Arabidopsis thaliana: one gene and its partner. The protein of the gene in region 1 interacts with the protein of each later gene in a pairwise test. Each region holds a gene or a part of one and is shown in the gene's direction. Other genes may lie near its edges.

Region 1 (16,145 bases):
CAACAAAAGCTCCTGATTCTTCGACTTCAACTCATCAACAATAGCAGTTCTCTCACTCTCCATTGTCTTCTTCATCTCCTCAAAAGTCTTCCTAACCTTAGCCTTCTCCCTTCTCTCTTTCATACATTCCTCAAGCAAGCGTTTGTTACTCACTTCAAGCTCCTTAGCTTTGTTCTCATGATGCAACTTAATAGCCTCATAAGCTTCCTCAGCATGCTTAATCCTCTCCTGAAGACTCTCATAATCTTTCAACAGAGTCTCATGATTCTCCTTCAGAATTTCATGCTCCAAAGTCATCGTTTTCTCTAAACCAAACATCATCTTCTTCTCTGATTTGTCCTAAACCCAAACCTGAAACAACATCAACCAATTTCTACAGATTATTACCAAACTCATAAGCTTAATCAAAAATTCTGCAAAAACCCTAAATATCCAAGCTTTATGTTCTCTTTATGACTGAAATGCAACGAAGATGAGAATTAAACCAGATTTATGAGCTCAGATTGTGGAAATCGAAATGGGTTTCGGAGGATTCAGAGAGAAAATGGTGAGTAACAGGGAAGAGAGAGTGTGGTTAAAACTCAGATTCTTTCAAGCATTCAACAATGTAAACAGAATCAGATAGAAAGAAATGGAATTTTCTCGAGAAAATCTTACCAGGATTGCGAACTTGAAGAACCTAAAGAGAGAAGAAGACGAAGAAGCAAAGTCCTCCTAAACGTTGGTTAATGATAACGTAATCGAAGATGACAGATAATGTTTGTATGTATTTAAGTAATATTATTCAAATTAATTAATTGTTTATTCCATGTGACCAAAAAAATAATTAATAAATTGTTCATTCTTAAGCTAATTTAACCCAAACCTTTTTTTAATTTAATCCAAACCTTGTAACTGATGCGATGTTTTTTTTACTAGAACTTTAATTTTCTGTTTTTACCGTTTTATATATGGCATTCAGTAGGTCTGGGTACGAAACGGATATCCGGAAAAATTGTGATATTTGTTATTCGATTCGTTTTAAACGAATACTTGATTTTGTGATTTGCTTTGCTTTGCTTCGAAAATTTCCGGATATCCGGAATTTCGAATATCCAGAATTTTTTGTGATATTTGCGGATATCCGCTTTGATATATTTAAATATTAAAAAAAATCTATATACTATATAACTATATCAGATATTCAAAGTTTTTATTTAACATGCTTTCAAAATAAAAACTAAATACTTGTTGGTACCACCAGTCTACAAAATGTTATCAAACTAATTCCGAAAACTAAAACCCGATAGTTTTTGATGTCGTTGATCAAAACATAACATGAGAAAAATGATCAAACAAACATTTTAACATAAAAACGTAAAATAGCAACAATACACAAACTATTATGATATATATATAGATATAACTATATTTTCTAATATATATATAAAAAGATACGGATCGAAGCGGATATTCGGTTTTTTTTTTTTAAAATTTGTTATTTGATTCGGTTTTTACGAATACTACATTTTCCTATTTGCTTTGGTCCAAAATCTTACGGATATTCGGATTTTTCGAATCAAACCAAATCATATACCGAATCAAAGCGGATCGAACGAATATTTTGCCCAGCCCTAACATTCAGGTTAACAACAGAAATTAAAGGTATTCTAACATTGTAACATTAATGTATGTTTTCGTATAAAAATGAAAGTTTAAATATCAAATTGAAGTTTAGGTTAAATCAACTGTGGTATAATACGTGTATAAATGCAGCATAGTTCAAACTAAAGATATGAAAAAACCAATTTTCCGTTTTTTACATAACATTTGTGCAAATTCCTATACTATTAAAAGAGAAATATAAATTTGTTTCAATTTGAATTGGATCGGGTTATGTTAAAAAATTAACATAAATTGACCTGAAATTTAAGTAATTGGATTTTTGGCAAAACAAAATTCGGAATATAATATGAAAATCAATGTTTTTAAACCCGATCTGGACAGTGAACCGGACAACAGTTTTTTTTCTTCTACGCATCGTTTGTTTGTATTATTTATATATATATATATATATAGTGATATGATAACTTCCCTAAAATTAGCTGAATAATTAAATGAAAAAAATTTCAGTTGATTTAACATTGAATTTTTTTCCTTGTTTTTTTTAACCCATTTCTCCACATTTTTTTGTAGTAGTTTAGTTTCGTAATTTCTGCAGTCACAACTTTTAGTAATGAGTTATAAACAATTACAATCAAGGTTTTTATAGTAAACACATCTTTTACTAAAACCACGTAGAATAATTGGAAATCAAACATAATTTTTCTAAAGCTCCTAAATTTTTTTAGTTTGTCCTTAGAAATCAAATATATTTTTGAATCTTTTTTATCTAATTAACCGCAATATCTATAATCTGAAAGTGTTAGGACCGATTGGTAACAAGTGTTATTTCTAACTATATCAATTTTGGTTGTAGAAAATTTTGGTGTAAGGAATTTGACCGTAGAAAATATAGAGACTTTTGCAGTTAAAATTGCAGATGTGAAAATTTTGAAACAATTGGTAAAAATTATGAGTTTAGAAATTAAAACTTTAAATAATATAAACGATTAGATTAGTTGTGACATATGCGATACAATTTTTTTTCATCTCTACTGAAGAGATCGTTTTTATTGATATTGACACAATTGATGACGGTTTCATATCATTAAAAATGATAATTTAGAGAATGTTTTTTCCGATTTTAAATGATGCTTTCAACTTTCAATATAAAAGTTAAATGTATTTAATATTTTTTGACCAATAATATTCTATAGTATATTTTTTATTGGTTGACTTAGATATAGTTACTTATGCAAAAAAAGGTAAATTAAACTAAACTTTTGTAATATGTGTAAAAAACCTTAAACATTACTTAAAATCAGAGAGAGAATAATTACGGTTGTTTAGAATCCTCATTAATCATTCTCTGTTTCATTTATTAACTTTCTGTATATCATTAACCCCACAAGCATTAAATTACTCACTAATCTTTTTGGATTCTATTATTCATTGGTTTATCGCTTAGGCAATAAGTACGGAATCAAAAACATTCCACTTTCTGACCAAAAAAAAAAAATCGTATATCTCTCAGCGCGAGGGAAGAAGAAGAAGATGAAGCTAAAATGGGAATCAATCTCTAATCTTCAACAAAACACATATCTCATAAAACTCGTCGCTGCAACACTTATAACTTGTCTCGCTTTTCGTTTCTTCGTCTTCCGCTTCGGCCAATTTTCCCCAGTTCAAGTGTCGGTGACCGGAAACTCCAATTCCCAGATTTCTCCGACGTCTGTTATCTTATCGGATAACGAAGATCAAATTCCCGTCGGTAAGATTTCAATTATATCAATAACATTAACGATTTCGCTGTGTAGAATTTTGTTAACCTTGTTTTTTACGGAAACTTCTGAGATCTAGGGTTCTTAAAGATAGTTTACAACTTTAGAAGAGTTTTAAATGGTTCATTAGCTTCTGTTAGTTTGTGATGATAAGAATCTGTTTTGTTGTATTAGATATTGAGGTGGAGAAGTGTGATCTATTTACTGGGAAATGGATTAAAGATCCTTTGGGACCAATCTACACGAATGAGTCATGTGGTATCGTTGTAGATGCTCACCAGAATTGCATCACTAATGGTCGACCTGATTCTGGTTTTCTCAATTGGAAATGGAAGCCTAATGACTGTTCCTTGCCTCGGTTTGATTCTCTGAGATTTCTGCAGCTTATGAGGAATAAATCTTGGGCTATAATCGGTGACTCCATTGCTCGTAACCATGTCGAGTCTTTGCTTTGTATGCTATCTACAGTAAGGTTTTTAGCTATTGCTTGCTAGCTATTTGCAGACTTGAGGATAATGAGATTTGTGATTGTAAGTTTTGTTTGTTTTTTCCATGTTTCAGGTTGAAAAACCTGTTGAAGTGTATCACGATGAGAACTATAGATCGAAGCGTTGGCATTTTCCTTCGTATAACTTTACGGTATCCAACATTTGGTCACCTTTTCTTGTTCAAGCTGATATCTTTGAAGACTCAAATGGTGTCTCATCAGCTGCAGTTCAGCTTCATCTAGATAAACTCGACAATACATGGACTGATCTATTCCCGAGCCTTGACTATGCGATCATCTCTTCAGGGGAATGGTTCTTGAAAACTGCGGTATACCACGAGAATGCTAATCCCGTTGGATGCCATGGCTGCCCGGAGAGTTCGAACATGACGGATTTAGGATTCGACTATGCTTACAATACGTCGTTGCGCCATGTTATGGACTTCATAGCGAAATCTAAAACTAAAGGCATGATCTTTTTCCGGACTTCGATACCTGATCATTTTGAAGATGGGGAATGGCATAACGGTGGGACTTGTAAGAAAACAGAACCGGTGGGTGAAGAGGCAGTCGAGATGAAAGTTCTGAACAAGATATTGAGAGATGTTGAGATTAATCAATTCGAGAGAGTGGTTACGGAGATGGGTCAGGAGAGTGAGAATCTAAAGCTTCTGGATTTTGCTGGCATGTTGCTGACTCGACCCGATGGTCATCCGGGTCCATATAGAGAGTTTAGGCCGTTTGATAAAGATAAGAACGCTACGGTACAGAACGATTGTCTGCATTGGTGCTTGCCTGGTCCGATTGATCACTTGAACGATGTCATATTGGAGATCATAGTGAATGGTCGAACCGGTAAATAACCAGTTTGCTTGTATGTAGTCAATGGCTTAAAAACTGGATGAATTGAAAACAGAGGTTTGGTATATAGGTCATGTAAATTTTGGTAAACATGAAGAGATTTGGTTAACAGCTAGAGTTTCTAATGAACCGGATAGATCACCTTGGATGAATTGAAAACCGGTTCGGTTCACGTAGCCATTCTTATGGATCAATTTATGTAAAATCTGATTTTTCTGGATTTGGTTTTGTTTAGTTTAATGGTCAATAAAATGGTGATCCAATCCGGTTTAGTAAGTTGGTTTGGTGGGCGAGTTCAACATTTGGGAAACAATAATCAGAAATTATCCATAAATAAGAAGAATCAAACTAAGATGATATATACCAGAAGACAGGTAACTCTGTGAAAATAGTAAAATTAAACACAGAGCTGTTAAATTCTGGCCAGTTTAATATTTGCTCCGGAAACTTGAACATCTCTCACTTTTTTTATATCTAAGAGAGTTCACCATTATGAAGCAATTCCAATTATAAACCCATCAATTTCTCAATAATAATCGAAGTTTCTCATCTACGAAGGCGACAAAAAAACCACCGAATCTTAGGTTTTGTTCATTCGAACGAATCCGAATTTCGCAGTCCTAATGATCGGATTTAATATTTGATTATACGCTTTCGGTGACACACCCTTCTTTAGGATACGAAAGAGTGCAACGCCTTTCCAAAGCAATCTTAATCACATTCTCAAAAACAAAACAAAAAACACTAAACGGAAAGTAGAAAAACTATGAAGAGGAAGAAGATGAAATTTTGTCGGCGTTGGAGACTGACTTGGATTAAAAGTATTAGGGTTTTGGATTTATAGAGAGAGGACGAACGGTGAGTCAAATTAGGGGAAGGCATTTATGGGCCTTGAACTTTAAGCCCATATTGTTATGGTATGTCAAATTTAAATCTTTATGGTATAAGACAAAAGTTATGGGCCACTTTTAGCAGAATTGTCCATAGTTTCTACAAAGACACTTATCTTGTGCAACACAAATACATGTACGGTATACTGTTTTTTCTTTTTTATAATTTAAAAACAGCACAAAAGATTTGATTGTACGTATAAAACGGCAAGGCGTTTTAATTTAGATACTCTTATTTATTTTTCTTTTGGTCGAAACAAAAAAGCGGCAAGGCGTTAAGATTTTAGAGAGAAAGTTGATAACTGCTTATCTTCTTCGGACGCCAAAATTTTCTTTAAATCCAGAAATGGAACAGTTTTGAATTTCAAAATGTTGACCGTTAAGCCTTTGTTTATTTAATAAACCCAGAGGCTCCACTAATCGTCAAAATCCCAAATTCCAAAATCTCCATTTCTCTCTCGCTCTCGCTCAATCTCTCTTCACAATGTCGACAGTTTCTTCAGATCCTGCTCATGCGAAGAAATCGAGAAACAGTAGAAAAGCGTTAAAGCAAAAGAATGAGATCGTCGAGTCATCACCGGTCTCAGACAAGGGGAAAGAAACGAAGTCGTTTGAGAAAGATCTGATGGAGATGCAAGCGATGTTGGAGAAGATGAAGATCGAGAAGGAGAAAACTGAGGATTTGTTGAAGGAGAAGGACGAGATCTTGAGGAAGAAGGAAGTTGAACAGGAAAAACTTAAGACGGAGCTGAAGAAACTGCAGAAGATGAAGGAATTCAAGCCTAACATGGTACGATTTTCTAGATCTGGCTCTGATTCTTCTTCACTTGTATTTCGCAGATTAGGTTTTTTGATAAAGGATTCGAGATGATTTTAATCTGGTTAATCTTATGCGTTATGGAGCTTGTTGATGGTTGATTCGCTTATTGATGGACCTTGTTGCTAAGTTCATGTTATGTGAAATTGATTCATGATGATTTTGGGGATGGATATATTCAGAAAATCTGATTAATCTTATGCGTTTAGGAGCTTGTTGATTGTTGATTCGCTTATTGATGAAGATTGAAGCTAGTTCAGGTTCTGTGAAATTGATTAAAGATGATTGATGGAAGTTTCGCTTAGATTTGAGACTAATCATCATTCACAGATGTTAGATTGATTTCTATGCTTCTGTTTAAGATAGAGATGTTAAATTTGGTGCTAAATCGATAGATTACTTCATGTTTCGTTGATGTATCATTTCTATGTTGTGATAATGTTTATTTTGTGATTGATTTTGGGAGTATTGTTGTTGCTTCCACAGACTTTTGCTTTTAGTCAATCTTTGGCACAAACTGAAGAAGAAAAGAAGGGAAAGAAGAAGAAGAAGGATTGTGCTGAAACAAAGAGACCATCAACACCATATATTTTGTGGTGTAAGGATAATTGGAACGAAGTGAAGAAACAGAATCCTGAAGCTGATTTCAAGGAGACTTCGAACATTCTGGGTGCTAAGTGGAAGGGGATTAGTGCTGAAGAGAAGAAGCCTTATGAGGAGAAGTATCAGGCGGATAAGGAAGCTTATCTTCAGGTTATTACAAAGGAGAAGCGTGAGAGGGAAGCAATGAAGCTTCTTGATGATGAGCAGAAGCAGAAAACTGCAATGGAATTGCTTGATCAGTATCTTCACTTTGTTCAGGAAGCTGAACATGACAACAAGAAAAAGGCCAAGTAATGATACTGATTCAAGTATTTAAATCGAGAACTGTTTTGTTTTGAATGATAAGTTATAAAACTGAATGAATTTCTTGTTTTGTAGGAAGATAAAGGATCCCCTGAAGCCTAAACAACCAATATCTGCTTACCTGATCTATGCAAACGAGAGGAGAGCTGCTTTAAAAGGAGAAAACAAAAGCGTTATTGAGGTAAGTAAAGAATTAGGAGTTGTCTTTTCTCAATGTCATTTGAAACTCTTGAAGCTAAGGTGTGTGTTGATGATGAATGATGATTATAGGTCGCTAAGATGGCTGGAGAAGAGTGGAAGAACTTGTCGGAAGAAAAAAAGGCTCCTTATGATCAGGTCTAGTTCATCCATACTCATCATAGACATTGATGTGTCAAGAAGTGAAGTTTAATAAAGGGATGTTCTTAACGTATGTGTAACAACAGATGGCGAAAAAGAACAAGGAGATATATCTGCAAGAAATGGAAGGATATAAAAGAACAAAGGAAGAAGAAGCAATGAGCCAGAAGAAAGAAGAAGAAGAATTCATGAAACTCCATAAACAAGAAGCTCTCCAACTTCTCAAGAAGAAGGAGAAAACCGACAATATCATAAAGGTTAATATACTAAACTCACAGTGCATTGAGCTATTTTGGGATATAAGTCAGTAACTAACACAACACATGTTTTCTTTCTTGCAGAAGACGAAAGAGACGGCGAAGAACAAGAAAAAGAACGAGAATGTTGATCCTAACAAACCCAAAAAGCCTACTTCTTCATACTTTCTCTTCTGGTATATACTTTAAAACCCTGAATCCACAAAACAATCAGATGCTAAACTGGTTTTATAATCTCAAATCTTTTTACAGCAAAGACGCAAGAAAGAGTGTGTTAGAAGAACATCCTGGGATCAACAACTCAACTGTTACTGCTCACATTTCATTGAAATGGATGGTATATTATAAATCATGAAACTCGAATCCAACGAGTAAGATTTTATCACTGTTAGTTGTGAAATTGAGTTGGTTTTGGTTACAATTTTGTTGTAGGAACTTGGTGAAGAGGAGAAACAAGTTTACAATAGCAAAGCTGCTGAGTTAATGGAAGCTTACAAGAAAGAAGTGGAAGAGTACAATAAGACCAAGACTTCGTCGTAGAGAAAGAAAAATTAGAGAATGTTCAAGTTTGCTCATATTGAACATCTCTACTTATGCAAAATGACTCTGCTACTTAAATCGCTAGGCGCTAATCGGGATTATATTAATCTCAAGAATATTCAATACTGTACTACTTAAATCGAATTGTGGAAAAAAGTGGGGAAGCCTGTGTTAATCTCAGCCGTTGGATCAAATTGAAAATTAACGTCGAAGATTGGAGAACTTCCTGTGGAAGTATTTGTTGAGATCAATCCAGTGAAATCCGACGGACCAGAACTTCCCACGTGGTGGTAAAACGTTCCACCACCGTTGATGGACTCGTAAGTGTATAACGGCGACGTGACGGGGAATGAGAAAGCTTCGCTTCCAAGTCCGCCGGTACGTACGGTAAGACTGGCCCTGAGATTCTGGTAATTTACTGCTACTGTGTGTTTTGGTTTGGTTTCTCGTTTCTCTGGAAGTGGGATCCCCTGTGAACAAGTGTGTGTTCCTCTGTATGTTACTTCGAAGATCGTTGGATCACCGTCCGATCTTTGGACTTGTTTCGTAGCCCAACAGTACTGTGTGTTACGAAATGTGCATCTGTAATAACTCCTGCAATAAAAACACAAATTAGTCCTAAATTAGTAAAACTAAAACTAATTTTTTCTTCTTCTTAAAGCCACGTAAATTTAGCCAAAAAAAACTATCTGATTATATACAAATCCGACCTTCATATAGCAAACTCGGATAATAATTTTAAATATCTAATTTATCTTGTATTATATTCAGAATTATTCATTACATATTCGATATTTAAATTATGCAAAATAGTTTTTAATATGAGAATACACTTTGAATAGTAATTTTAGGTATATATTACTCATATAATTATACTCAACATTTATCCGCTGCTATTAACCAATCTTTTAACAAATGTACTATTCGTAAACATGATGATTATGATGATGATGATAGAGTATGATGATGTACCTTGGGAATTTGGCGCCCAAAATGTCTTTCTGGCCATATTTTCTCCAGCTGAAGATATCGTCATGAGGTCCTTCTAAGCCTCTCTCTGGGCTAATTCTCACTTGCTCTGTCCACTTTGGCAACATCTTCCTGCAAATTTTCATTAATTGTCAAATCTCTAATTCAAAAAATCTGGCTATTTTTTTTGAATTCTAATATTATTATTATTATTATTAAATTTTAATAAGCTTTTCTCTTCTTTATAACGCTAATTTAAGTTCAAATTTTTACCTCTTTTTAGAACTTAAGTTGAATTCTTTCGATCTTACATTGAAAAACTCTTCGCTTCTCGGATTTCCGGTGATCGATGCTGGAGATCCTGGAACCTTTCCGGGATGAGCTAGGGGATCAGGCGCAAGCTCTATCGTTGGATTGTGTTGTGTGGTGGATCCGTTGAGCATCAAAATAGCTTTTTTGAAGGAAGAAACTATGTTATGTAAGAGATTCTCCTTTATCTCCGTCGTCAAATATGAAGAAGAAGCTGACAACGATGGAGAAGACGAACCCTGAAGCTGCTTGGCCGCTTTTAGTCCATGAATTAGCTCGTTTAGCAAACTCCTCCGCTCCCAATTCATCATTTCCATGTTACTTTTAGTGTCTTGAGTAAATTCGAAAGGCGGTAAAACCCCGGTTTACGGTGACCGGAAGAAATAGTTATGAATTTTTTGGAAAAACTTTTGACATTGAAGGTGAAGAGATGTGATAGCTTTTTAACTTTTTTATAGTAAGGTTTAGATTAAGAACATGTGATTGTGGTTTAGGAAAAAGATGTGAGATTTTTGGTATTTGAATGATGAGAATGTACTAAAACGAAGCGTGTTCTTTTGGAATTTAAAGGTTTTAAAAGATATGTTTGAAAATTTGACCAAGTGAGCAAACTATTAAACAAATAGGAAAAAGATTCAAAGTTGAGAAAGTCTTTGGTCTTCATTAAGAATATATCGTTTCAGAGTGTATAAGTGGTGGTGTTTACTATAGGTCAAATGCTGACCAAATCAACTTTGGGTTTATTTTAGTTTAACCAAGTTGATTAGTTATTTAAATCTAGTGGTTTACTAAATAATTATATTATTAGGATAGAAATAAACTGTACCTTTTCCAAGTATTAACTTTGTTAAGGTTCTTTTTCAATATCTATCTGCAAAATGTACTATTACATTGATTTCTATTTTGGTAGCAACAAACCATTTCTTGTATAACTTGTTATTCTATTGACGACAACCGTTTTTGTATCATTTATTTTGTTTGTGTTCAACATCTTCAGATAGTCTACCAGATTTAAATATGAAATATATAGCATAGCAGACTAGCAGTTATAGCACAAATATTAGATACCAAATCTCAATTATAAAATATAGTACAAAATCAGGATGAGCTAACTAAATAAGTTCAACTGTATTTTGACATTCTAATTAATTTCTAACATTTAAAGATGTAAACAAAATTCCATGATATCTTAGAAAGTTACAGTATGATTGTATGAAATGAACCATAAACTATTACAGAGAAAAGTGAGATGACACATACATTCATAATTCAATACAAGATCGTAAAAAAAGGTTTCTGCTGACCAAGTCCATCCATCGTCAAAGACTCAAAGTGTATCAAATTAAAAGAAGTTCCATCTGAAATTCCATATCTCATGATTGATCTGTAACTTTACTGCCATTAGTTGATTTTTTGTCTTAATGGACTTGGAAGATTAGTTTTTGCTATAACATATTGAAAGTATATCCGTTTTCATTACTAAGTCCACGTACCTACGTGTTGTGTAAAGTTAAATACGTTAATGTGACATTGTGATGCATTAGTGTATACTTAAACTATAAACAAATATTTAGAGTCTTAAAAATCTTATCTTATTATATAAAGTATGGTTTTCAAAGTTTCTAACTCATAGGATCGTGTCCACGTGTCAAGTCAAACGATCAGATGTTTACATGTGTCATTTAAAATTTAACTTTTTTATTCTCTTAAAAAAATAGAAAATCTTAAAAAGTAAACAAATTTACATATGCTAATTAAGTTACTAACTCATAGAATCGTGCCACGTGTCAAGTCAAACGATCAGATGTTTACATTTGTCATTCAAAATTTAATTTTTTTATTCTCTTAAAAAAAATAGAATCTTATTATATAAAAATTAAGATACAAAAATTTAACTTTTTTATTCTCTTAAATTCAGCATCTGCTATTTAGGCGGGTCTAAGATACAAAAATTAAGTTTTATCGATAGAAATTTGTATAATAATCAATATATTTTTCTTGATATTTAATTTAATAATTATTGGTTTAAACAAAATTTCAGTCTTATCCATTCTATTTTAATTATACACACTCAATCTTATGAATGATATTTGAATTCTAAAAAGTAACCGATCATCATTCTATATTTAATTTAATATCTAGAAAAGAAAAAGAAAAAATAAATTTATATCTTACACATTCAATTTTGTAATACAGTTTAACTATCTATGTCATCATAATAAACTCGATTTAAATTCTACACACTTCATATTGAATGATAACATTTTCATATCAAAATAATATTTATGACATATCAAATCTATATCCTATTTAGTATTAAAAATAATTAAAAATTAACAAAACATAATTAATAGGCCTAGGCATAATACCCCAACCCTAAGAACCGATCCGAACCCGAACCCAAAATTTTCAAAGACCCGAGCGGTTCTGAACTTCAAAACCCAAAAAACCCGAACCTGAATAGGTATCCAAACATATCTCATATATAAGTATATATTAGTTATATTTATACTTGTATACAGAAAATATTAGGATTTTTTCGGATATTTTAATTATTTTTGTTTATTTTTAGATATATTCAAGCAAAACTACTCGTGTTGTTTTGGAAATATTTTAAAATTTTCAAGTAATTTAATAGATTTGCACACAAAATTTGATATTTTAATATATAAATAAACTCGAACCCTAACCCGACCTGAAATCTTAAATTACCCAAACGGGTCCTAAACTTCTAAACTCAAACCCAAAATAGCCGACCTGAACCTGACTCGAATACCAAAACGCTTAGGGCTAATACTTAATTAAAAAAATAAAAATCCACAAAAATATTTAAAACTAAACATTGTTAAAAATATATTTTTTATATATACGGTAATCTCTTAAGTTAATCTTACATCATACAAATTAATATCAAATGAGTTAAAATTAATAAATGAAAATATTCTCATTAAAAAAAATTGAAAAGTTAAATCCTATACGGGCCATGTCATCTCATTTCATTAATTCGTTAACGAAGGGTAATTTGGTAAGATCACATAGCACAACCTAAGGTTGCCGTCGTCGTCCTCTACCTCCGAAATGTTTCCCGTTCACATCGTTTTCGTTTTGTCCCCAAAACCCTAAAAATCTTCAACGCAGGGTTTAACGAATCAAACCTCAACGACGTCGTTTTACTCTTCTTCTTCTTCCTCTCTGTGTTGCGTTCCCTCTTTCACAAACTCACTGGTAAGCCATTTCCCTCTTACATCGGAATCCTGCTTTCGCATTTCTCAGCTTCGTCGTGATTTAATCGTAATTGGTTCAAATTTGTTGTAAACAACCCTAATTTCGAGGAATCATTTGCAATTCCCTCATTTTTGCAGACATCACATCCTTAGAGTCGTCCCAGAATGAACTCACTCGCCATTAGAGTCTCCAAGGTTCTCAGATCCTCTTCAATATCTCCTTTAGGTAATTCTTCTTTCTTATCACCTAAATCTTCTGCCTTTTTCTCAGAAGACTATCATTTGTTTCTTCTTGTGTTACTTTGATGTGTAGCAATAAGTGCTGAGAGAGGCTCTAAGTCGTGGTTCTCTACTGGTCCTATCGATGAAGGTGTAGAAGAAGATTTTGAAGAAAATGTTACAGAAAGGCCTGAGCTTCAACCTCATGGAGTTGATCCTCGTAAAGGTTGGGGATTTCGCGGTGTTCATAGGGTAAAAAGATTTGATCTTTAACACTTAAAAGTTATGCATTCTTAGCTGAAGAATATCAGAATCAAATTAGGCTTAGCTATAGCAAAAAACCCGATTGAAAAGGAACGGTTTTTATGTATGTGCCTTGAATAAGAGTTTGGAACTAGATTTCGATGATTTGAGTTATCTTGTTGCAATATCATTTCATATACTTATCAGCTTTTCAATGGCGTTCTTGCGGTTTTATGTCATTGTTGGTTTCCTTTGATTCATTCAGGCGATTATTTGTGGGAAAGTAGGGCAAGCACCGTTACAGAAGATCTTAAGGAACGGGCGGACAGTAACGATCTTTACAGTAGGAACAGGTGGGATGTTTGATCAGAGGCTTGTAGGAGCTACTAATCAGCCAAAACCAGCTCAGTGGCATAGAATCGCTGTGCACAACGAAGTGCTTGGCTCTTACGCTGTCCAAAAACTCGCTAAAAAGTAAGTTTTATTATATGCTTAACTATCTTGAACAAAGAAGAGTATTAACAATAGTTTAAGAGTTATAATTTCAGATTAACTAAGTGATAAATCCGTTGGTTAAGATATAATCAGCTCATATGTGTGTGAATGTGTAAAAGTGTACACAGAAACTCTTAAGTTGAATAATATCTTCTACATTATCTGTCTTCAATCTCTCTGTTTCGTCTTTAGTCGCTCTATGTAATGCTGGTAGCAATGTCTAAATAGGAAGTGAAAGGTGTAGGTTTTCATCTAAACTTCTTTGCTGGTGCTTTGTTACAGCTCGTCGGTTTATGTGGAAGGTGATATTGAGACTAGAGTGTATAATGATAGCATCAGCAGTGAAGTGAAGAGTATCCCTGAGATTTGCGTTCGTCGTGATGGTATGTATGTTCATATTGTTGATCCGGAACATCAATTTGTTGCTGAGTTACGATTCTCTTGCTTTGTTTTAGGTAAGATTCGGATGATCAAATATGGTGAAAGCATTAGCAAAATCTCTTTTGATGAGCTAAGTAAGTTATCATTTTTCATTCAGCTAATATTCGCAAAGAAAAAAGAGATAGTTGCTTGTGTTTTAATATTTGTTTCACATTTGGCAGAAGAAGGATTGATTTAGTCGGAGCAAGAATATTCCGGTGACCGGATGAGAGCAAACTGAATAAAACGTTTTTCTGAGTAAAATCGATAAAACAGTTTGGTTTTTTGTTCTGTCCATTGCGACTTTGTGAGCACTGAGTTCCTTTTAATGGATACCAGGGGGCATATTTATGTAGTTTCTGGTCAGAATTATTTGATGTATTGTTCTTCAGTGGATGTTTATATGGCAAAAAATGAGGAAGAACAAAGACGAAAAACAAAAGTGCTCACATTACGAATTGGGCTAAAAGACCCACACAAAATGAGACGAAGTGATATATAAAGACTTGGATTTCAATTTTAATGAGAAATATTTTACTCATCAAAATTGAAAGAAATATTCAGTAATAGCTTAAATGATATGACATTGTTTATTAGATTGTTGATATCTCTGACTCACACTCTAAGAACGATAACAAGGAGATCGCGAACTCTCAGAACATCAGAGCATAATTTCCCCGATAAGAATAGAGTTAGTATTTATAGAAGAAGAGCATTATTATATTGTTTAATACTTATTTACAATTACTTACCTTAGATACAAAAACAAAAATATTTTGTTATCTTTTAAATAAACAAAAAAAGTAGTGCTGATTTAGTATCTTATATTTGCTTTCAACTAATATTTTATAAAATATTAGTATATGAAAACATGAAATAAATTCTAATATCATATTATTCATTTTTTGTACTTTAATAGAATCAATAGTTAAATTAAATTTGTTGATTTTATGATTTTATGTTTATGCATAAGTTTATACAACTTATTCAACTAAATTTAAATAAGTTAATTTATATATGAGATGGATATAGTTTGTAACTAATGAAATTGAAATTATTTAATTATAAGTTAAAACATGTCAAATTTTTATTTAAATAAGAATTAATGCATGATTTAAAAAATTCTTAAATAAATTAAATTAAACAATAAATGTAATATGTTGATATGACAAGTAGCATTCTTTCCATTGCTAACGTGGCGGAAAGATGGAGAAAGTTGATCAATTTTCATATATATAACATTCAAGCATATATATATATATATATATATGTATAATTATAATTAGAGATGAATGCTTACACGACATATAAAATTATTGGTCAATGAGGAGAAACTTAATCTTATGTACCTGTTTTGTTTGGTATTTCAATTGCTATAAAGAGAGGCCTAATTAAGAAAAACTTCATATGCATAAAAGAAAGCATGAGAAGAACAACACATCACCTCCATCAAGTAAACATAAGACATATGGGATCATCGAAAACTCACACCACTAAAAAGTTCGTTTTAGTGATGTAATCTTTAAATCTAATCAGTGATATAGTTAAATTTCCCATCACACCACCCATACCACCAAATATGTTTAGATCATGAGCAAAATCTCTTGAGATCTCCATCTCACCCTTTTAAAGAAAGTAGCAGGAAAATGAGTAGAAGCTACATATAAACATAAAACATGTATCCTCTTTCATACTTTAAAAAATAAATTTGTTTTGTTTTGTGACTATAAATCACCTAAGAATAATATTTAGATTCTCAAACCATTGTTGAACGTGCGATAATAAACTTTTTACGAATGTATGAAAG
Region 2 (15,512 bases), 8.5 Mb from region 1:
CAACAGATTAGAGAAGCTGCAGAGCTTAACGAAGAGAAACCAGAAACATCTATTGATTTTCCTAATAACAGAGATCACGTGCTTTCAGCTGAACCTGAGGAAAGCTCTGTTGCAGAAATGGCCAGTCAGCTGCAATTGCCTGAGAGCGTCAGTATATCTGGAGTTTTGAGCCACGAGGAAACTCGTAAAATTGACACATTGAATTTATCTGCAGAACTTACCTCTGCTCATGTTCATGAAGGCCGCTCAGTCAGCTTCTTACAGCTTATGGATATTGTAAAAGGACTTGGCCAAGATGAATATCAAATTTTGTGCAACGCAAGAGAGGCTGCTTCTAGTACTGAGCCAGGAACAAGTTCGTTGGAGCGACTAAGAGAAGAACTGTTTGTTTCGAGTACCATGGAAGATATACTCCATGTGCAACTCACAGAACAGTCTCATCTACAAATAGAGTTTGATCATCAACATAACCAATTTGTAGCTGAAATATCACAGCTTCGTGCATCATATAGTGCGGTGACAGAGAGAAATGATTCTCTTGCGGAGGAACTATCAGAGTGCCAGTCTAAACTCTATGCTGCTACAAGCTCAAACACGAACCTTGAAAATCAGCTTCTTGCTACAGAAGCACAAGTGGAGGATTTCACTGCTAAGATGAATGAGTTGCAGCTTAGCCTAGAAAAGTCCCTGTTGGATCTATCTGAGACAAAAGAAAAATTCATTAATCTTCAGGTAGAGAATGATACGTTGGTTGCAGTTATATCTTCCATGAATGATGAGAAAAAGGAACTTATTGAAGAAAAAGAATCCAAGAACTATGAGATTAAGCATCTTTCATCTGAGTTATGCAATTGCAAGAACCTGGCGGCCATACTAAAGGCAGAAGTTGAGCAATTTGAAAACACTATTGGTCCATTAACAGATGAGAAGATACATCTTGTGGAGGAAAAATATAGTTTATTGGGTGAGGCCGAAAAGTTACAGGAAGAATTGGCAAATTGTAAGACCGTGGTCACCCTGCAAGAGGTGGAAAACTCAAACATGAAGGAGACGCTTTCTTTACTGACACGCCAGCAGACTATGTTTGAAGAGAACAACATACATCTCAGAGAAGAAAATGAGAAAGCACATCTAGAACTGAGTGCACATCTGATCTCGGAGACTTATTTATTATCCGAGTATTCCAATCTAAAGGAGGGATATACTTTGTTAAATAATAAGCTCTTGAAGTTTCAAGGGGAAAAGGAACATTTGGTTGAGGAAAATGATAAACTTACACAGGAACTTCTTACTCTTCAAGAGCACATGTCAACTGTAGAAGAAGAGCGGACTCATCTAGAAGTTGAGTTAAGAGAAGCAATAGCGCGCCTTGATAAATTGGCTGAAGAAAATACATCTTTAACTAGCAGCATCATGGTAGAAAAAGCAAGAATGGTAGACAATGGTAGCGCAGATGTGTCAGGGTTGATCAATCAGGAAATTTCTGAGAAACTTGGTAGAAGTTCGGAAATCGGGGTTAGTAAACAGAGTGCATCTTTTCTTGAAAATACGCAATATACAAATTTGGAAGAGGTTAGGGAATATACTTCTGAGTTTTCTGCCTTGATGAAGAATCTGGAGAAGGGGGAGAAAATGGTTCAGAACCTTGAAGAGGCAATTAAGCAGATCCTGACCGATTCTTCAGTGAGTAAATCTAGCGATAAAGGTGCCACGCCAGCAGTATCAAAACTGATTCAAGCTTTTGAGTCAAAACGGAAACCAGAAGAACCTGAATCTGAGAATGCACAGTTAACTGATGATCTGTCAGAAGCAGATCAATTTGTTTCTGTTAATGTGCAGATTAGAAATTTGAGAGGTTTGCTTGATCAGTTACTGTTGAATGCTAGGAAGGCTGGCATACAATTCAACCAGTTAAATGATGACAGGACATCGACAAATCAAAGACTCGAGGAGTTAAATGTTGAGTTTGCATCACATCAGGACCACATTAATGTTCTGGAGGCAGATACTATTGAGAGTAAGGTTTCGTTCGAAGCTCTGAAGCATTATTCGTATGAGCTGCAACATAAAAACCATGATCTTGAACTTCTCTGTGATTCATTAAAGCTAAGAAATGATAATATCAGTGTAGAAAACACGGAGCTCAATAAGAAGCTGAATTATTGCTCATTGAGAATTGATGAGCTTGAAATTCAGCTGGAAAACTTACAGCAGAATTTAACTAGCTTTTTGTCCACAATGGAAGAACAGTTAGTGGCCTTGCAGGATGAATCTGAGCGGGCAATGATGGTAGAACATGAATTGACATCATTGATGTCTGAATTTGGTGAAGCAGTTGTGAGGCTTGATGATTGTTTACTCAGATCTGGCACTTCTGGAGCTCATACTGGCTTAGATATGACCAAACGCATATCTGGTTCTGTTGATGTGGCTGTAAACGTGATTGAAGACCTCAAGGAAAAACTAGAAGCAGCTTATGTGAAGCATGAGTCCACCTCAAACAAATATGAGGAATTGAAGCAGAGTTTCAATACTCTGTTTGAGAAGAATGAATTTACAGCTTCTTCAATGCAGAAGGTCTATGCTGATCTGACGAAATTGATTACTGAATCATGTGGGTCAGCGGAGATGACCAGTCTTGAAGTTGAAAATGTAGCTGTCTTTGATCCTTTCAGAGATGGTAGTTTTGAGAATCTGTTGGAGGCTGTGCGAAAAATTCTTTCTGAGAGGCTTGAACTTCAGTCTGTGATTGATAAGCTACAGTCAGACTTGTCGAGTAAATCAAACGATATGGAGGAAATGACGCAGCGAAGCCTTGATTCCACTTCACTTCGAGAGTTAGTTGAGAAGGTTGAGGGTCTTCTGGAACTTGAAAGTGGAGTGATTTTTGAATCTCCTAGTTCACAGGTGGAGTTTCTCGTTTCCCAACTTGTTCAGAAGTTTATAGAGATTGAGGAATTAGCTAATCTCCTCAGAAAACAGTTAGAGGCCAAGGGGAATGAGTTGATGGAGATCGAGGAGAGTTTACTGCACCATAAGACTAAAATAGCTGGTCTCAGGGAAAGTTTAACCCAGGCTGAGGAGTCCCTTGTGGCTGTACGATCTGAGTTACAAGATAAATCTAATGAACTTGAACAATCAGAGCAGAGGTTATTATCGACTCGAGAGAAGCTTAGCATAGCTGTTACTAAAGGAAAAGGTTTGATTGTTCAGCGTGACAATGTCAAGCAGTCGTTGGCCGAAGCCTCTGCTAAACTGCAGAAGTGCTCAGAAGAATTGAATTCGAAGGACGCTAGGCTTGTAGAAGTTGAAAAAAAACTGAAGACCTATATTGAGGCAGGTGAACGTGTGGAAGCATTAGAATCTGAGCTGTCATACATCCGAAACTCAGCTACTGCATTGCGAGAATCGTTTCTTCTGAAAGACTCTCTGCTTCATAGAATTGAAGAAATTTTGGAAGATTTGGATCTCCCAGAGCATTTTCATGCCCGAGATATATTGGAAAAGGTGGAGTGGTTAGCAAGATCAGCTAACGGCAACTCTTCGCGCCCCTCTGGTTGGGATCAGAAGAGTTCTGATGGAGGTGCGGGATTTGTTCTCTCAGAGCCCTGGAGGGAGGATGTACAAACTGGCACAAGTTCTGAGGATGACTTGAGGATCAAGTTTGAGGAGCTCAAAGGAAAGTTTTATGGATTGGCTGAACAGAATGAAATGCTGGAGCAGTCCTTGATGGAAAGGAATACTTTGGTTCAGAGATGGGAAAAACTCCTGGAAAATATTGATATCCCTCCACAGCTACACTCCATGGAAGTGGAAAACAAGATTGAATGGCTTGCAAGTACAATTACAGAGGCTACACATGACCGGGATAATCTCCAACAGAAGATTGATAACCTTGAAGTCTATTGTCAATCAGTAACTACTGATTTGGAAGTCTCACAAAAGCAAGTAGGTGATGTCGAGGGAAATCTTCAATCATGTGTTAGTGAGAGGGTGAATCTTTCTGAAAGGCTGGAAAGTTTGATTGGTGATCATGAGAGTCTTTCTGCAAGGGGCATTCACCTTGAAGTTGAGAATGAGAAACTGCAGAATCAAGTGAAAGATTTGCATGAAAAATTGGTTGAGAAACTTGGGAATGAAGAACATTTTCAGACTATTGAAGGAGACTTGTTAAGTTTGAGGTACATGATTGATGATGTTATACAGGAAGATGGCTTGCAAGATTTGGCTTTAGCAAGTAATTCTGAGAACTTGGATGGAGTGCTGAGAAAGCTGATAGACTATTATAAGAATTTGGTGAAATCTAGTTTGCCAGGTGAAACCGATGACAACGTCTGTGAAACTCGTCCATCAGATGCTGATGTTAGAAGCGGAGAGTCATTGGGTGCACATGGAGCAACTTCTCATGGGCAACATTTTGAATTGTCTGATTCTAATGTAGTTGAAGCAACAAGTAGAGACATAGCAGTCGTAGAGACACCTGATGTAGCTTCCCTAACAAAAGATCTGGATCAGGCACTGCATGTTCAAAAGCTGACAAGGGAAGAAAGAGATTTGTACATGGCAAAACAACAATCCTTGGTTGCGGAAAATGAGGCACTTGATAAGAAAATAATAGAACTGCAGGAGTTTCTTAAACAAGAAGAGCAGAAGTCAGCTTCTGTAAGGGAGAAGTTAAATGTAGCTGTTAGGAAAGGGAAGGCTTTGGTCCAGCAAAGGGATAGCCTGAAGCAAACTATTGAAGAGGTGAACGCTGAGCTTGGTCGCCTGAAATCAGAGATTATCAAAAGAGATGAAAAGCTCTTGGAAAATGAAAAGAAATTTAGGGAGTTGGAATCTTATTCTGTGAGGGTAGAATCCCTAGAGTCTGAGTGCCAATTGTTGAAAATTCATTCGCAAGAAACAGAATATCTTTTACAGGAAAGAAGTGGTAATTTGAGCATGACGTTGAATGCGTTAAATAGCATTGATATTGGTGATGAAGGTGACATAAATGATCCAGTCATGAAGCTTCAACGAATCTCCCAACTGTTTCAAACAATGAGTACAACCGTGACTTCTGCTGAGCAGGAGTCGAGAAAATCTAGAAGAGCAGCTGAGTTGCTACTTGCTGAGTTGAACGAAGTTCAGGAGACAAACGATAGTCTGCAAGAGGATCTATCAAAATTTACATATGAAATCCAGCAACTTTCCAGAGAGAAGGATGCAGCGGAGGCTGCAAAGGTTGAAGCCATATCTCGTTTTGAAAATTTATCAGCAGTCAGCAACGAAGAAAAGAATAAGCTATATGCTCAACTGCTATCATGTGGAACCAGTGTGAACTCTCTAAGGAAAATACTCGCAGGTACCAACAGTTGCCTAGCTGATATTTTCATCATGGATATGGAGTTTCTGCATCATCTGAAGGCAAATATGGAATTATGTGCGAAGAAAACTGGAACTGATTTGTCTGGCTTGCCTCAACTCAGTACAGAGAATCTGGTAGACAAGGTATTTAAATAATTTTAACAGCTTATTATGGTATATATACTTTCAAGGTTTTTCTGCCTCTGACTATTTTCTGAATATTGTTTTTCCTATTTCTGCGTAGGAAATCTTTGCACGCTTGAGTGCTGCTTGGTCTAACATTAACTTGCATGAGACATCAAGTGGTGGAAACATAGCCGAAATTTGTGGTTCTCTCTCCCAAAACCTTGATCAATTTGTGGTTGGTGTTAGCCATCTCGAAGAGAAAGTAAGCAAGCACTTGGCCACATGGCACGACCAGATCAATATTGTATCCAACAGTATCGACACCTTTTTCAAGTCAATTGGAACAGGAACGGACTCTGAAGTTGCCGCTCTTGGTGAAAGAATTGCCTTGCTTCATGGAGCATGTTCTAGCGTGTTGGTGGAAATTGAAAGGCGTAAAGCTGAACTTGTTGGAAATGACGATTTTAATATGAGTCTCCACCAAGTAGATGAGGACTTTTCGTCTATGGAATCTGTCAGGTCCATGGTAAATAGGCTATCGTCAGCTGTTAAGGAGCTTGTTGTAGCGAACGCTGAGACTCTGGAGAGAAATGAAAAGGAGATGAAGGTAATCATCGCCAATTTGCAAAGGGAGTTACACGAAAAGGACATCCAAAATAATAGGACGTGCAATGAACTTGTGGGTCAAGTTAAGGAAGCCCAGGCTGGTGCAAAAATCTTTGCGGAAGATCTTCAATCTGCAAGTGCCCGGATGCGTGATATGCAAGACCAGCTGGGTATTTTGGTTCGGGAACGGGATTCTATGAAGGAGAGAGTAAAAGAGCTGCTAGCAGGGCAGGCGTCACACTCAGAATTACAGGAGAAGGTCACATCTCTTAGTGATCTACTAGCTGCGAAAGACCTAGGTCAGTTTTTCTCTTTTACCCTTTTGTTTTTGCACCGCCACATATATAGCTGATACCTAATTGCTTCCTGCAGAAATTGAGGCCTTAATGCAAGCGCTTGACGAGGAAGAGTCTCAGATGGAGGATCTGAAACTCAGAGTTACAGAATTAGAACAGGAAGTGCAACAGAAGAACCTAGACTTGCAGAAAGCTGAAGCTTCTCGTGGGAAGATTTCCAAAAAGCTATCAATTACTGTGGATAAATTCGATGAGCTCCATCACCTCTCTGAAAATCTTCTTGCTGAAATCGAGAAACTTCAACAGCAAGTGCAAGATCGGGATACAGAGGTTTCTTTCTTAAGACAAGAAGTCACTAGGTGCACCAATGAGGCTCTTGCTGCTTCTCAGATGGGCACTAAGAGAGATTCAGAAGAGATCCAAACTGTACTGTCTTGGTTCGACACGATAGCTTCACTACTTGGTATAGAAGATTCGCTGTCCACTGATGCTGACAGTCATATAAACCACTACATGGAGACATTTGAGAAAAGGATAGCGTCTATGCTATCTGAAATAGACGAATTACGGTTGGTTGGACAAAGCAAGGACGTTTTGCTTGAAGGCGAGAGGAGTAGAGTGGCTGAGCTCAGACAGAAAGAAGCAACTCTTGAGAAATTCTTACTTGAGAAAGAATCCCAACAAGACATTTCAACAAGCTCGACGTCAGAGATCGTTGAAGTGGAACCTCTGGTAAGCTTTGAGCTTGTTAAATAGTTACACCATTCCAGATGCCTCAAGATGATAAATTTTTAATTGTGGATTTTTTTTTGTTGGATATCACAGATAAACAAGTGGACAAAAACATCGATTCCATCACAAGTCCGGAGTTTGCGTAAGGGAAATATGGATCAAGTCGCCATTAGTATAGATGCAGATCAAACTGATCAAAGCGGTAGCTTAGAAGAAGATGATGATAAAGGTAATTAAACTTGTCTCTGAATATTTAGTACTTTTAACAACATTTCTTAGTAACATTCCCATTTGTATTTTTTCTGTTTTTTAGCTCATGGTTTCAGATCACTCTCTACGTCAAGAATCATTCCTAGATTCACAAGACCCATCACTAACATGGTCGATGGTTTATGGTCAGACTCTTTTCATCCATGGATCTCGTTCAGTGTAAAGTTCTTTAATTATGATCTAACAAAAAACGACCCTTTTATTTGGTTTCTGAACTTTTCAGGGTCTCTTGTGATCGGACGCTCATGAGACAACCTGCTTTACGGTTAGGGATCATGCTATACTGGGCGATATTGCATGCTCTTTTGGCTGCTTTCGTGGTCTAACCAAACTTCCAATTTCGTAAGCTCATTACTGACTTTTTTTTTTTTAATCCCAAAACAAGTTGCAAAGAGTAGCTTGATTTGCTAAGCTTTTAAGACGTGTTTTAATCGTATATTTGCAGCTGGTTTCTCGTTATAGCATGCATGGGCTCATCAAAGTGGTGATGTGTTGTCGTCTCCAACACTAATTTTTTTTTTTTTTTTTTTTTTTTTTTTTTGTCTTTGTCTTTGTTTTTAATTCATTGTTTAGCTTATATTAACCAAGCAAACTGTGGTTTCAGCATTTTTATTGATCCGAATCACAAACTGCTTGGGTTTTCAAACGAATAAGAAAGAAAGTTTATTTAGTAGCTGTGGAATGAAAGTGTGATTTAACTAGAGAGACTTGAAGTTCTATTATTTTTCTTTTTCCCTATTCTGCTATTCATTATTTTCAGAAATACAAAGCAAAATACGTGAAATGATCACATTTAAGTATTTAACAAACTATACAGAGAAAAAATAAATATCACCGACACTAACATATTATTGAAAAAAGGCATGAAAAGGCTACTTTTAAGCCCAATAAATAGGCCCAAATTGTATATTTACTAAATTTTGTTAACGCGCTTACAAAACCCTTTGGAAAGTATTTCATCAAATTTCAGATTCAGAAACCCTAATTTCTTCACAAAGCAAAACACAGAAAAAGCCATTCTTTTTGCCCCTTGAGTGCTTTCAGCTCTTCCCACAAGGTAGGTCGCAACCAAGTTTCTTTATCTCCTTCTCACTCTTAATTGTGGTAACGTTGATCCGATCTGTTCAAATTTGATCGGGTCACTTGGTGGATCTAGTGACTCTGTATTTTTTCTCGATGAATTCAAATCCTTTCGAATGTCTTACTAGAAAAGATTTAGAATTCCTTTATGTTGACCTTGGTTTATTGTGCCATTGACAGGTTACAGAAGTAATGTCACGTGTGTACGTCGGAAATTTGGACCCGCGAGTTACTGAGCGTGAACTTGAGGATGAGTTCCGTGCCTTTGGAGTTGTCAGGAGGTAAGAATCAATCCAATCAATCAGTTCGCGCTACAATTTTGTCACTTTTGAAGTTAAAAGTATCCAATTTTGCATCTCTCTAATGTTCATATGTAATGTGCAGTGTTTGGGTTGCCCGTAGACCACCTGGTTACGCTTTTCTAGATTTCGAAGATCCTAGGGATGCCCGTGATGCTATCCGTGCTTTAGATGGTAATGATGCATTCATATTCTTTCTATTTTGCTTTGTTCTCTTAGAAGTTGATGTTTTGATTGGGATTGGAAAATAAGTTTGGTGGAATCTTTTAAAGGAGAGAAATTTGAGGTTTGCAATTACTTTTGACTTGAAACTTCACAATTTGACATGGATATTGTGATAACGGATAGGCAAGAATGGCTGGAGGGTTGAACAGTCTCACAATCGAGGTGAGCGTGGTGGCGGCGGTCGTGGTGGTGACCGTGGAGGTGGTGGCGGCGGCCGTGGTGGTCGTGGTGGCTCTGATTTGAAATGCTATGAATGCGGTGAGACTGGTCATTTCGCACGTGAATGCCGTAACCGTGGTGGAACTGGAAGGCGTCGCAGCAAGAGCCGTAGTCGCACTCCTCCAAGATACAGAAGGAGCCCAAGCTATGGACGGAGGTCAGTGATGCTTTTTATTTTGTTACCTTAGTACCTTATTTTGAACGGATTAAGTAACCTTGCCTTTTTCTGGTTTTAGGAGTTACAGCCCTCGTGCAAGATCTCCCCCTCCTCCAAGGCGCCGCAGTCCTTCTCCTCCTCCTGCCCGTGGCCGCAGCTACAGTAGATCACCACCTCCATACAGAGCGCGTGAGGAAGTGCCATATGCTAATGGGTAAATTTCTTTTTCCCAAGTCTCTATATCATTATCAGTGTTTAGGTTTTGGTTATAGTTCTTAGAGATAAACATTTACATTTTCTTCAGATGCTAATTCAACATCTGTTCTTGTTTCTTCAGAAATGGACTGAAAGAAAGACGCAGAAGCAGGAGCTGAGTGAGTGATTTTGCAAGAAAACGAGTGTGTGGGAGGATACTTTGGAAGAGAAGAAGAGAGGGACTAAGGGAAGTTACTATCATCTATGAATTTCAGTAAGAGAACATGTTTTAGGTCTGCTGGGTTGGATAAAGCTTGCTACTTTTGCTTTTGGATATGAAACGTACGTAGTTGTGTATCTACCAATAGGTAAAAGAACACTTGATTCGTACCCTAGTTTCTTAAAGACATAATGTTTGATTGGAAATTCTGCTAAATGCCTAAGCGTTTCTTGTCTTTTTCCACCGTGTCGAGGTTTCTTCGGGTCTACTACTACTACTACTGCTTCATTGCTTATCTACTTGCTTCTCTACTCTTCTCATATGAAGCATCTTCCTTAGTTTCTTGGCCTACTTCATTGTTTATCTGCTTGCTTCTCTACTCTTCTGCTATGAATCATCTGCATTTAGTTGCTCGGCCTGGTATGGGAAAAGTTAAACCACGGTTGTGGATCCCTAACATCATCTTCATTTAGTTGCTCGGCCTGCTTCATTGTTTATCTACTTGCTTCTCTACTCTTCTGCTATGAATCATCTTCGTTTAGTTACTCGGCCTGCTATGGGAAAAGTTAACTACGGTTGTGGATCCCTACATGGCTTGCTTCTACTTCATCTTCGACCCTAGAGATGCGCTATTGTTTGAAAACTTCATCAGCTTTGAGGTTACCTTCTTTGCATGAACTTGAGCTGCATCACTCAGAAGCACCTCTTGTGTGGTCTGAATGTTGTGCATTAGGTTTAGCATAATTGTAGCTATGTGATAGTGTTTAGTATGCACATTCTTGTCCTTGGATAGATTTTTGTGCATTTCACGGTTTATATAGGCAAGTCAAGAATTTGTAAATGCGTATCAGTTGCTACCATTTGGTACTTGTGTTCATTTCACTTAAGCATAGTTGTGAAATTGTTCACTTTTATGAAGGTGAAGCAAAGTAATTGCCTAAGAGGAAGATTGAATACATAATCTGATTTGCTCTTATTCACGTAACAACTAGCTATGGTTTCGTTTCAGCAACTATAAATCCCAAATTAAGTGAAAAAATAAAAGTATACTTGCGAAGTAGACATGGAGACGTTGTTTTGGCATGACAACAATTAAAAGCCTAGAAAAGCAAGAGAGACAAGATCATGATCCTAGTTCGGTCCCAGAATCATCAACAAACCCACCAAATTAAAATCTGTTTGGTCCCATTCTTCACTTACACATCATTGAATTGATTGTTATGTGACGTAAACCTCTCTGACCTCTGCTTTTTTTCTGCAATTATGCTTCTCCTCATTCCACTTCCTCTGCCGACACTTTTTTTGCTCCACGTTTCTTCACTTTTCACCGACACTAAGTTGAGAATGTCCTAAGATCCTCAGAGAATACAATAAATATTGGTCTTTCTCTTGTTTCAGTTTAGTCAGAAAACTGGTTCTTGTTAGTTATTTACAGTTACAATCTCTTTCCACAAAGGTTGGACTTTAAATTACATAAATTCTCTGCAGTGATTTGACATGATCCTTGAAATTAGTTCAAGACAGAAGCTCTTTTAACTGCCAACAACATGTTCCAACTTTACAGATATTGTATACATGTATGAATCTCTGGCTCACACTCTATCCCTAACAATGGAGGAATCAAACCAACATAACAAACAAACAAACGAAACGGAAAATCAATTAATGCCTACCACTATGGTTCCAACAATCTCATTACAGAGGATACCACTGAACATAGAGGAAGTGGAAATTCAAACTCACTGATTTATTGACCCGAGTTATGAATCTTCTTTTGTTCTTCTCAGCTCATCTGCTCGCCTATGAGATCGAGACCCACAAGAAGAAAGGTAACACCTTGGAATAACAGGAAGTAGAAATGCACTCCTTGTGCTGCCAAGAGACTCCTAAGCGCTGCAGTGAGCAAAAGAAAGGCCAATGCGAGCTCTTTGTGGTATATCTTGTTGGTTTTCTTGACAGGTTTCTTTGAAACCGCTTGTTTCTGTTCTTCAAGTTGGCTCAGCTCCAAAAGTTCGCTGTCGGAAACTCCCCTAAGCAATTGACTTTTCTTGGTTGGTGTCTCTTTCTCGGTGATAGATAAAAGATCTGACTCTGATGATCTTCCAGCTTTCTTTGTGACAATCCACTCGTAAGAGCTACCCAATTGGAATAATCCGGACACCATCGCATTGAACTTGGTGACAGACATTGTGTTCTCGAATAAGAGATAAGGAACGATGAAAGGAAACGATTTTGGAGATGGAAGAAGGTTGAGGAAAGACATGAAAACTGGTATGTAGCAGATGACCCAAACAGGGAGCTCAGCTTCTGGAACAAACATGGTGAGTGGAAGGATTATGCAGAACAAAGTGAAGGAGTAGAAAGGAAGTATGAGTTTCCTAAGAAGAAAGAAGAGAAGTATCAGATTCGCCTTCTTCCATATCGCTATCTGCAAGAGTAACCAATGAGAACCAGAAGAAGTCATTAACATGATGATTAGCAAACATTTGAACTAAAAGAAGAAAAAAGCTGCACACTACCTTAGAGGTCAAGATTGAACCAAGACACAAGCGGAAAAGCTGCATAGGTCCCGAATGCCAACGGTGTTGCTGCTTCTTATATGCCTCGTAGGACTCAGGAACTTCGCAAAGGACCTATAGATTTGTTTCTATCCAGTTTAATTCATTTTGTTACATAAATAAGGCTTTTTTTAGAAACAATCGATAAAAAGTAGTACCTTGACGTCATTAAGATATATGAACTTCCATCCATGAAGATGAGCGCGGACTGCTATGTCCATATCCTCCACAGTAGTCCTTTCAAGCCAACCACCAGATTCCTCAAGGGCTTTGATTCTCCATACTCCAGCTGTTCCATTGAAACCAAAGAAGTTCAAGAACACGCCGTTCACTTGCTGCTCCACCTCAAAGTGAAAACACAGATTGATGTTCTGAAGACGGGTCAACAAGTTCTCGTCTTTGTTCACAAATGTCCATCTAGCTTGAACTAGACCTAACTCTGGGTTATCCTGAAGATTAAATCACATTTTTAACATGTTAGCAATCTCTCTCTCCACTTTTCAATGATAGAAAATTGAAACCAATGTTAATACCAACCTTGAAATGTGGAACTGTTAGTTTAAGGAAATCCGGAGTAGGCTGGAAATCGGCATCAAAGATTGCGACATACTCGTATGCTTCAACGTAATCACAGCTCATTGCTGATTTGAGGTTACCAGCTTTATATCCAGTTCTAACCAAGCGATGCCTGTAGATTATGTTGACTCCCTTTTGGCTCCATTTGGCAACCTCAGCTTTAATTAACTGTTGGATGCTTTCATCATTCGAATCATCGAGAACCTGAACCAGTATTCGATCTTTCGGCCAGTCAAGTTGACACACGGCAGATATAGATTGTTCATACACCTGAACAAGAAGAAGACTAAAGCTCATTACACTGATACCAAAAAGGTTATATAAAGCAGGAGAAAGATGAATACTTTCTTGGATATACCAAAGTTGAATGAGCATACCTCTCTCTCATTGCACATTGGAATCTGAACAAGAACCATTGGATACTCAGATCCAGATCCCTCAGCATCATCATTACGGAAAGGTTCCTCATCAAATCTCGGCTTAATTTTCTTATACTTGATCCAAAAACAACCCAAGCAAAGTACCAAACGATCTACTGACTGTATAAGGAACAGCACAATACAAAACTTGGAGAGAGCTTTGATGGGAGGAGCAATATAATCAGCTCTAAGGGTTAACCAACCAACATACACAAGATGAAACAGGCTCTGGATCTCAAGTGTGCTAGTGGGGATGTGAAGACTAGGGCTTTGAAAGTAATGCCATCCTCTAAAATAAGCAACAATCTCAAAGCCGAGAATCACTAAGGAAACAGCTAAGAAGAGCTTAATGGCAGTGAAAAGCCATCTGTCTCTGCCTAATTTCTCAGAGCCAAGTGGGTGAGTGAAACTAAGCCGTTTCTTGATGGCACCAAGGAGAGACCAAAAGACAGTGGCGAGCCAAGTGAGACATCCAACAGCTCTATGAGCTTTGAGAAGCAAAACCCAAGTGACTTGCTTAGCGTTCTTGCCTCTGCTCTTCTCCACTGGTCTAAAAGCCGAATCTGGACCGTCGATTTCAACTACAGAGTAATTAGGATTCTCCATTTTCACCACAACTGGTGTTCCTTTCCTCGTGTCTTTCGCCCACCAATCTGAAAAATCCAACCTTGGAGCCATCTTTTGCCTCTAAAATCTCCTCTGAGAAGTAGAGAAATCGAAAACCCTAGCTGAAATTTCTAAATGTGGTAAGAAGGATCCCAAAATAAACACCCAAATCTCAAAGTGTGAGATTTCAAACACAACCCATTTTCAGGAAAACAAAAAGGTAGAAACTTTGAGTGAAAGGAGTGAGCTTTCTCTACTAATAATGGAAGAGAAAGAGATTAATCTAACACCCAGATCCCAGAAATCTGAAATCTAGAGACCCATTTTGTTTTTTATTATATTCTAAAAAACCAGACAAAGAAGCATCCACAGCTCAAGGCTCATTTATAGTGGACCTCTTTTTTTAGAGAATGACAGAGAGAAGGATGGGTTGGTGAGAGAGTGTAGTGACTCAGAGAGAGAAGCAAAGGCAGAGGAAGAGGAAGAAAGGTATCATCAGTGAGAGAAGTTGTAAAAGATGTGTCACTTGCACTTTCATGTGTGTGTTACTCTTTCAGCTACTTATTTGATTGCTTCAGCATGCAAAATTCATCCCCTTTTTATTATCACTCTTTGTAATCTTTCACAAGCACTTGTCATGTCATGGATCTTCATTACAAATATTTGTATTTTCTTAAAAAAAACAAATTTGTTATATATTCAAAAGAAAGAAAATTGAGGAAAATCCATTGATGGATGGGGACCATATGGGTTGTTTGGCAATTTGAGGTGAAGACAAATTCAAATTTGTATTTGTGACCAACTATGTACTAGTTACATTGGAACATGTTTATAAGAAAAGATACTACCAAATCGGTTTCAAGTGAATCACTCTATTTTGCTATCACCGCTTCTCCTACGTGCTCCCCATGTCATGTTCCATGTTTTTTCCAAATTATATATTTTATACATTTAGTCAAATTCTCTTTGTAGTCCATTCATATTTGTTAAAAATACTATATTAACATGAGTTAAAAGTTTTCCTGATTAATTTACTCAAAGCATAAGCATTTTCATTATTATATTCTTGTCAAAAAAAAATCTTGAGTGTTGATCATACTTGGTAATTGGTATAATCACAAACGTAAGTCAAAGCCTTACTGTTAAAACAAAGGGATGCAACTCAATATTAACTATGAGTTCTATAATCAAAATATATATTATACATTAGGAGAGTAAGGAGGGAAACATTATACTTTGGTTTATTGACAAAGTGCTCTCTAACAATCAAAATTGGTCAAGTGTTGACGTAAAATATTGCCGCTAATTTTGGTCATTTTGTAAAACAAAAGATAATTTAGTGGTGCATGCCTTTGACAAAGGGAAGTATTTGACAAAAAAAAGAAGAATGTGATTCATTAGAAGGATAATGTCAATTTTTCAGTTTTAAAAATTCTGAAAGTTCCAACCAACAATTAGGTTACCCGAGATACTTGTCGGTGGTGATATCAACACATGTAGAACACTAGAAGATAAGGATATTCGTTGGCATTTTTAAGGTTTTATTTACTATACAATACCTAACGTTTTACGAAAGTATCAT

What was found.
Region 2: the proteins of 3xHMG-box1 (region 1) and RSZ22 interact in a two-hybrid assay, tested with the Arabidopsis thaliana proteins (one large-scale study listed by BioGRID).

Annotation. Positions count from the first base shown.
Region 1 is NC_003075.7:6,753,212-6,769,356, reverse strand, and holds 3xHMG-box1 (HMG (high mobility group) box protein), read left to right. Parts: upstream 1-5,857; 5' UTR 5,858-6,084; coding exon 6,085-6,390; intron 6,391-6,903; coding exon 6,904-7,310; intron 7,311-7,398; coding exon 7,399-7,504; intron 7,505-7,593; coding exon 7,594-7,659; intron 7,660-7,748; coding exon 7,749-7,919; intron 7,920-8,003; coding exon 8,004-8,095; intron 8,096-8,171; coding exon 8,172-8,256; intron 8,257-8,351; coding exon 8,352-8,459; 3' UTR 8,460-8,593; coding exon of another isoform or gene 8,594-9,053; 3' UTR 9,054-9,079; downstream 9,080-16,145. Other genes in the region: AT4G11100 (gelsolin protein), read right to left, coding at 1-321; TBL23 (TRICHOME BIREFRINGENCE-LIKE 23), read left to right, coding at 3,136-3,352, 3,537-3,829, 3,924-4,712; WRKY41 (WRKY family transcription factor), read right to left, coding at 8,594-9,053, 9,432-9,560, 9,702-10,054; MTSSB (mitochondrially targeted single-stranded DNA binding protein), read left to right, coding at 13,127-13,187, 13,275-13,432, 13,689-13,897, 14,201-14,301, 14,374-14,433, 14,521-14,537.
Region 2 is NC_003075.7:15,298,335-15,313,846, forward strand, and holds RSZ22 (serine/arginine-rich 22), read left to right. Parts: upstream 1-8,209; 5' UTR 8,210-8,433; exon of another isoform or gene 8,434-8,437; intron 8,438-8,636; 5' UTR 8,637-8,648; coding exon 8,649-8,737; intron 8,738-8,840; coding exon 8,841-8,929; intron 8,930-9,103; coding exon 9,104-9,356; intron 9,357-9,435; coding exon 9,436-9,570; intron 9,571-9,693; coding exon 9,694-9,730; 3' UTR 9,731-10,701; downstream 10,702-15,512. Other genes in the region: AT4G31570 (nucleoporin), read left to right, coding at 1-5,490, 5,591-6,377, 6,451-7,106, 7,200-7,335, 7,433-7,535, 7,600-7,702; CSLC5 (Cellulose-synthase-like C5), read right to left, coding at 11,555-12,199, 12,291-12,404, 12,488-12,778, 12,867-13,175, 13,283-14,002. UniProt on the Arabidopsis thaliana protein: Sequence-specific RNA-binding protein probably involved in pre-mRNA splicing. In vitro, can complement efficiently splicing-deficient mammalian SRSF7-depleted HeLa cell extract.